Drosophila melanogaster: one gene and its partner. Changing the gene in region 2 together with the main gene of any one other region gives a genetic interaction. Each region holds a gene or a part of one and is shown on either strand. Other genes may lie near its edges.

Region 1 (4,159 bases), on a different chromosome or scaffold from region 2:
TCCTTGGAACTGTGGCAAAATCCCTATAACTCTCGTAACATTCCCTGCAGATTCACCCATTTGGTTGAGGCAGCAGCAGGAGGCCCTGAAGAACTCCCAGCTCCTGCCCAAGTGCGGAGTGGTGTCGCCCTGTTTCAACAACATCAACCAAACGGTGGCCGCCGTGGCTTCGGTGACCACAGATCTCGAGCGAGAAATGTGGAACATAGTGGAGGCCTCCAGTGGCGCCGAGCTGGGTGAAACCAGCTACGAGTTCCCTTCCCCCGCTCCGGGTTCCCAGCGCAGCAGTGAACGAAATAGCAGTTCCACAGTCCCACCAGCTCCTCCTGCTCCTGCGAAGCCCTCAGTTCCGTCCGCCTCCTATGACAACCACAACTACAGTTTCAGCCAGGATGAGGACGAAGATGATGATGATCTGGAGTTTGAGGACGTATTCGTGCCGGCCAGCTCTGTTCCAAATCCCGTTCAGCCTGGCATAGATCCCGTGGAACTGCGTCGCTCCCTGGCTTTGGTCATGAGGGAGAAATTGCGATCGGATGACACGGACTCCAGGCCAATGGGCAACAATCAGGATCTTCCCATAGATGAACAGTCCAGGGAGAGACCGCTCTCCACTCAAACATCTCCCACAAATGGCCCACTTCCGGCTCTTCTGAGGGCCAAACTGCTTGCTGGCAACTCCAATAGCGCTCACTGCCTGCCAGGATCCACGGCGAGTCCTGCTCCCCAGGAGCAATCCGGTATCTTTGTGATCGATAGTGAGGCGAGTCCCGGCTCAAATGGGCACAAGCCTAAGTATCGAAAGGGCACGGCATTCACTCGGAGTTCGCTGAAGAAGAGCCGATCCTGCAACTGTAGCTCCATCGCTAAGGGACGAGGGGTCCACGACGAGCCCAGCAGTAATCTCTGCAGGGATCAGGAGTCCTCTGTACTTCCACAGCATCCGCAGCCAGCCAACCATCCCACAGAGAACTTTTTTAGTCCGCTGAGATCGGTGGGCAGTTTCATGCAGCATTCCAACTTGTTTCACTTCCTCCAGCCTCACGCCGCCCGTCCCACCTCATCGACGGCGTCGTCCACGGCCTCCACGCCCACTCCATCACCACCGCCCATGGGCCAGGCTCAGGAGGAATCGGTTCCAGTGGGTCTGACCACCTCCTCGCCGTCCCTTCTGGCGACCAGCGCGGAGAGTTGACCTTCGCGGTCGGAAAAGAAGCGGGATCAGCAGGAAAGTCCACTGGAAGAGGATCACAAGGATGCGAAAGGGGTAAGGGGTGACCCCTGAGGAAATACTCGCAAGTCAAAGCTTTTACGTTAAGTACTTTCCAGCTCTCTTAGGCTCTCTTTCGGAAACGTTGTCAAATTCTATATCGGATCTAAATCAATTAGTTCGGTAGTGAAATATAGAGATTAGGAGCTATGCGCATTTATTTTGAGTGTATGGTCATAATACGTTTCTACGGACTAGTTAATTATGTACATACATATGTTTAATGTTGTTAGAGTATTTACTGTGTATATGTCAGCTTATGTATACCTGAACGTCTGTGAAAACCAAGTTAAGCCATGCGACATGAATTTCAAAGTTGAAGTTAAATAAAGCGATTAAACCAGAATGTACATTCATGTTGTGTTTTATTTTTGTTGGTTAAATAAGTCCTGATGCGATGTATGCCTATTGGTAGGGTATACAAGTTTTTCTTTTACATATGCTAGTATAGCGGATTTTGGCAAGCCTGTTGATAAAAGCTTTTCCAGAGCTTTTTGGAAGCGACGCCAAAACTATTGGAGCTCACTTGCTCAAAGTTCCCCATCAGATGGTTGGAGTCACTGCTAAATCTAAAACCGGCAACATTTTTAAAACCCCAACAAGCCGTTTATATAATTTCAGAATAACTTTTACTACTCCTTACTTACTATTGTAACCACAATAGAAATGCCGCCTGGAGTACTCAATGATCTGAACAGGAACGGTATCCAGTGCATTGCATCAGTAACGCTTCTCCAGCGATTCCCGTATCATCGGAACCACCACACCATCCCCACCATGGACCAGAACCGACCCACTGTGGGTGGTGTTACGGCGGAGGTACTAAAAGCCGTCGTTTCGGAAGCTCTGCTGGGCAAATTCACAGCTGTTTTCCCAAAGCTTTTCAAGTGCCAGTGGAAGACTTACGAAGGTCAAAAGAAGGTTAGTACATAAGCAGACGAACTTCGAGGTGGGTGTGTGCTCTGTGCCGGGATTAATCTCGAATCTGGGAAAAATCTGAGTGGAAAAGTCGACGGCGAGCCTCCAGTCATCGAGTTACCCACTTGAAATTATCAGTTCCAAACACTCTAATAGCAGTCCCCTTGTTTTGTCCCCCGATCCGCAGTTCTACGCCAATTTCAGCACCGATTGCACCGACAGCAACAGCAACAACATGAGCCGAAAGTTCTGCGTGGGAGGCAACTGGAAGATGAACGGCGACCAGAAGTCCATCGCCGAGATCGCCAAGACCCTGAGCTCGGCCGCCCTCGACCCCAACACGGAGGTGGTCATCGGCTGCCCGGCCATCTACCTGATGTACGCCCGCAACCTGCTGCCCTGCGAGCTGGGTCTGGCCGGCCAGAATGCCTACAAGGTGGCCAAGGGCGCATTCACCGGCGAGATCTCCCCTGCGATGCTGAAGGACATCGGCGCCGACTGGGTGATCCTGGGACACTCGGAGCGTCGCGCCATCTTCGGCGAATCGGACGCCCTGATCGCCGAGAAGGCCGAGCACGCCCTGGCCGAGGGCCTCAAGGTCATCGCCTGCATTGGTGAGACCCTGGAGGAGCGCGAGGCCGGCAAGACCAACGAGGTGGTGGCCCGCCAAATGTGCGCCTACGCCCAGAAGATCAAGGACTGGAAGAACGTGGTGGTGGCCTACGAGCCCGTCTGGGCCATTGGCACCGGCCAGACCGCCACACCCGATCAGGTAAGGTCGCCCGCAGAGGCTAATCTCTTCCAGAACTGATATTTTCCCTTCCCAATTGCAGGCTCAAGAGGTCCACGCCTTCCTGCGCCAGTGGCTGAGCGACAACATCTCCAAGGAGGTGTCCGCCAGCCTGCGCATCCAGTACGGTGGATCCGTGACCGCCGCCAACGCCAAGGAGCTGGCCAAGAAGCCCGACATAGATGGCTTCCTGGTCGGAGGCGCCTCCCTGAAGCCCGAGTTCGTGGACATCATCAACGCCCGGCAGTAAGCAACGCGATCTCAAGCATCAGATCGCTTTCGGCCAGCGAACTGCCCGCGAAGGAGGCACTGGAGGGCAGGACTCCATACTCCTGCGCGCGAATGCATTACGCACACACCTAGTTGTTGTCACCACCAAGTGCAGTTCCAAATTCATAGTTACCTTGCGAGAATGCTACTCACATCCTTGTTGTTGAACGTATAGTAGTCCATTGTGTAAATCTTAAATTATTCAGGCAATAATTATGCGCTACTCATTTACTTATATACCAAACCAAACAGGTGTCTTATTTTTTGCAAGACTATTTCAGCTATTTTTAGAGCGATTGGTTGAACGACAAGGTGTCCAAAGTTGTGTGCACATATGTACATATATGTGTCACCTCTGCGGACCTTAAACCGAACAAGTTATTACTTAATTTCTGATAAGCATGCGAAATGGCAAATATTTGGAATATGAGTTCCAACTGAGTAATCGAGGCAATCATTGTATTCACTTACCTAACAAGTGAATCAAATCATTTGCATCATGTTTTTGACAATATCTTGCATAAAAGCCTTCAAGAAGAAGCAATGCATCATAAGATAGCTTAACTTGAGATAAGAAAGGAAAACAGTTTGTACTTATTATACTTTATACTTATACTCAGAGTTCATTTCTAATCGAAGTGTTCGAAGATTGTGCACAAAGTTTGGCAAATATGGAGCTAAACAAGGCAATTTCTTTGTAGCTGATAAGTTATTTAGCTTAGTAAGTAATTTATGGTTAGTAAATCAACAAAATATTATTCAGTTTTTCTCAAAACATGAACAGGCTGAGAATTCTTGAACCCAAGTGGCCTTAGATACATTATCGATTTGACAAGCTCTAGTTCTCCGTTTTTGAGCTTTTTATTGTCATTTCTGATCCTGAACACATCGATTTTATTCAGACTGGAGTT
Region 2 (5,562 bases):
GCTGGGTATTATGGCAATGGGTAGGGCACCGCCTGGTCCCAATGCTGGCACGCCACTGCCTGGACTCGGGGGTTTCTTGTTGTGGGGGCTGGAGAAGTAGTCCATACAGCTAGCGCCATCATTGCACAAAAGATCCATTTTCGAAATCTGGCCACGACAAAATTTAGTAATGCGTGTACTCCTATTATTGTTATATTGGCAATATTGTTATAACACCTTTTCAATGCCTTCTTTATTTTTAGAATAACCGGGCGAGTCAACCTGATAATTAACCAGATGAAACGCAACGCGGACAATCATCTCAACGATAACAAAGCCCTGATCCTGGACGAAGATCCAGGTAAGTTATCAAGTGGTTTTATTCGCACAAGGCTCGAGTCTTAATTCGCTTGCTTGCAGATGAGCCCGATCCCGAAGCAGAAACGAACTGGAGCGATCTGGAGGAGGATCAGCCAGGCAGTCCGAAGAGCCCATTGGAAGACGAGCTGGTGGCCGACGACGACCTGGCGACCGACGATGGTAACGCCGACGCAGACACAGACTCTGACGTATCCATGGATTAGACAGTCTACCCGTAATTTAAGCTTAAATGCAATTCCCTTGTTGTTGCGCCGCGAGAAAATAAATTAGCATTTTTTTCCAAACACAGTCTTTTACATCGAATTCATAAATTTTTATTTACGGTTTTAAACTACGTGCAACAACGAATAGTGAGAGCCAATTGTTGGTCTAATTCCGACACGAGATTTCATCGATACGCAAGCAAACAAACATATCCAGTTCATAAATACAGTTGAATAATGTGCCAATAACAGGGGGCTTGTAGCTCGAGTATACATAAGCGGCGGCTACTGAATAACGGCTCAGAAACTACTAACAATTAGAGCATTTGTGTAAACATTTCTTTTTAATTCGCAACAAATAGCCAGACATGATTACTTCCAATTGGCTTTGATGAAGTTAATTAGACCGTTCGTGGAACTGTCGTGCGTGGAGACCTCGTTGCAGTGATCCAGCTCCGGCTCGATGGCCTTGGCCAGCTGCTTGCCCAGCTCCACACCCCATTGGTCGAACGAGTTGATGTCCCAAATGATGCCCTGAACGAAGATCTTGTGCTCGTACAGCGCTGCAAAATCAATTGACATTAATAGGTGCTCGTGAGCTGAAACAGTGAGACGTACCAATCAACGCGCCTAGGGTGAAAGGTGAAACCTTCTTCACCACAATCGAGTTTGTGGGCCGGTTGCCGACGAACACCTTGTGGGGCAACAAGTTATCCAGCTCGTTGCCGCACAGGCCAGCCTTGGACAGCTCGGTCCTGGCCTCGTCGACCGTCTTTCCGGCCATTAAAGCCTCCGTCTGGGCAAGGAAATTCGATAGCAGAATCTTGTGGTGCTTGCCGCCGGCAATGGGATTGTGTGTCTGGGCGGGAGCGATGAAATCGCAGGGGATCAGGCGGGTGCCCTGGTGGATGAGCTGGTAGAAGGCGTGCTGGCCATTGGTGCCAGGCTCGCCCCACACGATCGGACCAGTGCTGTACTTGACGGGTTTGCCCGACTTGCTGACGAACTTGCCGTTGCTCTCCATATCGCCCTGCTGGAAGTAGGCGGCGAACCGGTGCAAGTACTGATCGTAGGGAAGGAGGGCATGTGTTTCCGCCTTGAAGAAGTTGGAGTACCAAACGCCTAGCAACGCCAGGATAACAGGAGCCTAGGAAAGCCAATAAAATGGTTAACTATAATCATTTTACTTAACTCTCAGTTGAGTCTTACATTCTTCTCGAATGGTGTCGTCTTGAAATGGTTGTCCATGAAGTGAGCTCCATCCAGCAGTTGCTCAAAGTTCTCAAAGCCAATGGACAGACAGATTGACAGTCCAATGGCCGACCACAGGGAGTAGCGACCGCCCACCCAATCCCAAAAACCGAACATGTTGGTGCTGTCAATGCCGAATTCGGTGACCTTTTCCTTGTTGGTCGACAGGGCCACAAAATGCTTGGCCACGGACTCAGGCTAAAACAAAACAAAAATAGTTTGCAAATATAGGCCAGACTAAAATGTTGTGATGTAACTATTTGCTTTGGCTGCGTTATCTATTTTACATTTAAGGCAAGTGGAATTTCATATTGGAAACATTTAATTCGAATTTGAAATCCGATTTAGCCTTTGATTAAGTCCATAGGCTGCATTTGATAAGCACATTAAATTGATTTGATAGCTTGAACACGTCAAAATGGTTCTTATAGAATGATAAGAAAAATCACTAGGGTCCATTGATGGTTCATTGTATTAGTTTGGTTATCTTTGCTTAAAGCGCTATCAATGAAGGTCATTTAATGTTCGACCTTTCGCTGTACTTACCTCCTTGGAATGCTCCAGGAGCCAGGTCTTGGCGGAGGTGGCGTTCGTAATGGTCTCCTGGGTGGTGAAAGTTTTTGAGGCGACAATGAAGAGGGTGGTCTCGTAGTTGACCTTCTTGAGGACCTCGGCCAGATGAGTGCCATCGATGTTCGACACAAAGTGGGAGTGAAGGCCCTTGCCGTAGGGCTTCAGCGCTTCGGTGACCATCAGCGGGCCCAGATCGGAGCCACCGATGCCGATGTTGACCACGTCGGTGATCTGTTTGCCGGTGCAGCCGCGCCACACGCCGGAGATGACCATGTTGGTGAACTCCTTCATGTGGGCCAGTTCGGCGCGCACATCGGGCATCACGTCCTTGTCGTCCACCAGGACGGGATCCGTGCCGCGGTTGCGCAGGGCCGTGTGGAGGACGGCGCGGTTCTCCGTGATGTTAATGTGCTGGCCGGAGAACATGGCGTCCCGCGCGGCGTTAACGCGGCGCACCTTGGCCAGGGTGAGGAGCAGATCCCAGACCTCGTCATTGATACGGTTCTTCGAGTAGTCCAGCAGTATCTCGCCATCGTTCTGGGTGTGCAGGCGCAGGCTGATAAACAAACGAAAAACATTTGACCTCAGAGCAAGTACGATTCGGAGGTCGTTGCTGTGACCTTACGCAAGGACAAATCGAGTGGCGGCGACACTCGACAGCCGATGGTGAAAGTGAAAGTGGGCAAAGCGCAACTCGATGAATAAACGATTGCCGATGGGGGATACACGAATGAGTGTATGTATGCGGGAACTAGATACGTAACTTCCACCCTCTGAGGCGAAATCGACACAAAAACCCACCTGTATTTTGAGAATCTCTTGGAATCCTTCACGAACAGGTCCTTGATGTTCAGGTCCTTGCCCTTGGAGTCGTAGTACTCCTGCAGCTTCTGGAACGCTGCCTCCTGGTTGAGCGGAGGAAGTGGGCCGGCCATCTTACTTCAGTTATCCCAAGCAGGAACAGCAGGCGGATGCGGAGTAGAAGGGCAAGGGAGGACTATTTAGCACTCGATGCAAATTAGTAGCACACGGAGAAGAGAGCACAGGCGAACTGCTTCGACCGCTCGCGACACTTCACTTATAATAGCGGATCCGGCTGCTTAGGCGTCGGGTAGTTCCTATTATCTGGCTCCGGCAAATCTCCAGAGCACCGCACCACAACTTCGCCGTGTTTGCTTTTGATAGGTACTGACTGAGCGGCTGCCGATTTTCCAACGTCCTTTCTGGAATTCGCGAGCACCTTTCAATGTCAAATGAAAAACAAGCGAGTGTTGCCACGTCGGCCGCGCTCTTGTTTTAATGTGCCGATCGGTTTGCAGTGTGTGCGAATTTACTGTGTGTGGCCGCGTGGAGATGAACTGAGAACTTCCTACTCCTAGATCGTCTGCACCGGTAGGCAAAAGGACATAAACTGAAATTTTCAAAACGACTTAACCGCCGCTAACGGCATAATTTTATCTCGATGTGGCAGCACGCTCGGTGTTCAGGGCTGTCAGGTGTCAATGACTATCGAATAGCATTTCTATTATTTAATGTCAAAAATGTAAAAATAAAAACATTCTTAAAATTACTTTAAAGTTACCCGTTAAATTAGCACATATAAATTGAAAAATATTTGTTATCTGTAATTAGCTTCTCACAAAATATTTTTTGTTAAGTTCTCTGCAATCTTATAATTCTCAAGCACTTAATTATTATCACGCATTAGAAAATTAAAACTACCGGAGTCATTGTTATTAGAATTACTTTAGCAAACATTGTTGCTAAAGTTATAAGCGTGCAATAATTATTTTTAAAAAATAATACATTTCGGAAAGTAAAATATATGTGAATTGAGTTGTGACGACAGAGCTATGGTTGCGAGCCTGGCTATGTATATAGCTAACGCCAAATACCAAGATCCGTTTGGCAACGCTGCGCAAGTAGGGTTACCAGGTAGCTGAAACTCGCTAAAAGATGGCGACGCGCACTTAATTTTTGTTTTTTCCCACATAATAAAGTGTAATAAAACCAAAATAAAAGCAGTGCCAGAGAAACAATCGGAGGCGCTTAAAAAGTGAGAAACAGCACACGACCCAATCGACTGGCCCGGGCACGAAGCGAAACGCGAGTGCAGTGAAACTCACATAAACATTGACATGTCGCTGGCCCGAAGAGTGCAACAAGTGTGTGAAAATCGAATTGTGGCCGTTTAAAATGTTTGGAGGAGCAGTCAGAGCACCTGGCGGCAGCTAGAGCGCCCTCGTCGCCCCCAAGAAATCATAGTGTGTCTCAGGAAGCCGAGAGAATCGCCCCACGAAGCCAGGCAGCAGCGTCTGCACACGTAACCTTGTGTGCGCGTAGCACGGAAGCTGTTTGTCGGAATCGGGTTTGTAGGTATGTGGCTGCGAGCCGCCGCTTAGATTCGCTGCTCACCGGGCATTTCGCTTGCAGACCATTTGCAGGACGTCGGGTACGTCAGCGCGGAGGATGGACACCTCATCCGCAGCAGGATCTGGAGCCGGAACGGGCGATGTGTGCCCATGCTCCACGGTAGCAACCTCCACGACCTCCGCATCAAACGAACAGCCGCAGACCAAGCGCCAGAAGATCGAGCAGCAAATCAAGGTGGGCTCCAAGGCGCTGCCACCCCAGCCGCCCCATCCGCCGGATATACTGGACCTGGACGCCAACAGCAACAGCCACCTGTGCTCCTCGCTCTCCTCGTCCTCTTCGCACTCGCTGTCAACGCCAAGCACCGCCAACAACTCCCCCACCACCACGCCCTGTAGTTCCCGGGCGGCGTCGTACGCCCAGCTGCTGCACAACATCTTGCCACAAAACGGGGACACAGACCTGCACAGCCAGCCTGAATCCGCCCATGACGAAGTGGACAGGGCGGCCAAATTGCCCAACCTGCTAACCCTCGACACGACCAACGGCAATGGCAGTCATGCTAGCAGCAGGAGCAATTGCTTGCAAGCAACAACAGCCACGTCCATCGACGATATGCTGGAGTTCGAGCAGTCCCTGACCCGCCAGTGCCTGTGCGGCGTCTCGGAGCGAACGCTGCGCAAGCCCTTCCAGTCGCATTACTCACAGGACACCAACGGCCAGAAACGGATAGCCTACCTGCGGGAGTGGCCCACCAACAAGCTGCTGCAGTTTCTGTCGAATCTGCAGCTACTGTTCGATA

The links.
Region 1: of Pgi (region 2) and Tpi, changing one enhances a phenotype caused by changing the other (phenotypic enhancement), as found in Drosophila melanogaster (one study listed by BioGRID).

The regions. Positions count from the first base shown.
Region 1 is NT_033777.3:30,132,311-30,136,469, reverse strand, and holds Tpi (triose phosphate isomerase), read left to right. Parts: upstream 1-1,870; 5' UTR 1,871-1,936; coding exon 1,937-2,191; exon of another isoform or gene 2,192-2,375; coding exon 2,376-2,960; intron 2,961-3,021; coding exon 3,022-3,228; 3' UTR 3,229-3,489; downstream 3,490-4,159. Other genes in the region: AdoR (adenosine receptor), read left to right, coding at 51-1,195.
Region 2 is NT_033778.4:8,910,245-8,915,806, forward strand, and holds Pgi (phosphoglucose isomerase), read right to left. Parts: upstream 3,826-5,562; 5' UTR 3,466-3,825; exon of another isoform or gene 3,327-3,465; 5' UTR 3,323-3,326; coding exon 3,189-3,322; intron 2,944-3,188; coding exon 2,361-2,943; intron 2,013-2,360; coding exon 1,773-2,012; intron 1,711-1,772; coding exon 1,182-1,710; intron 1,127-1,181; coding exon 936-1,126; 3' UTR 656-935; downstream 1-655. Other genes in the region: CG30349 (uncharacterized protein), read left to right, coding at 243-340, 400-563; CG8252 (uncharacterized protein), read right to left, coding at 1-105; lin (lines), read left to right, coding at 4,857-5,562.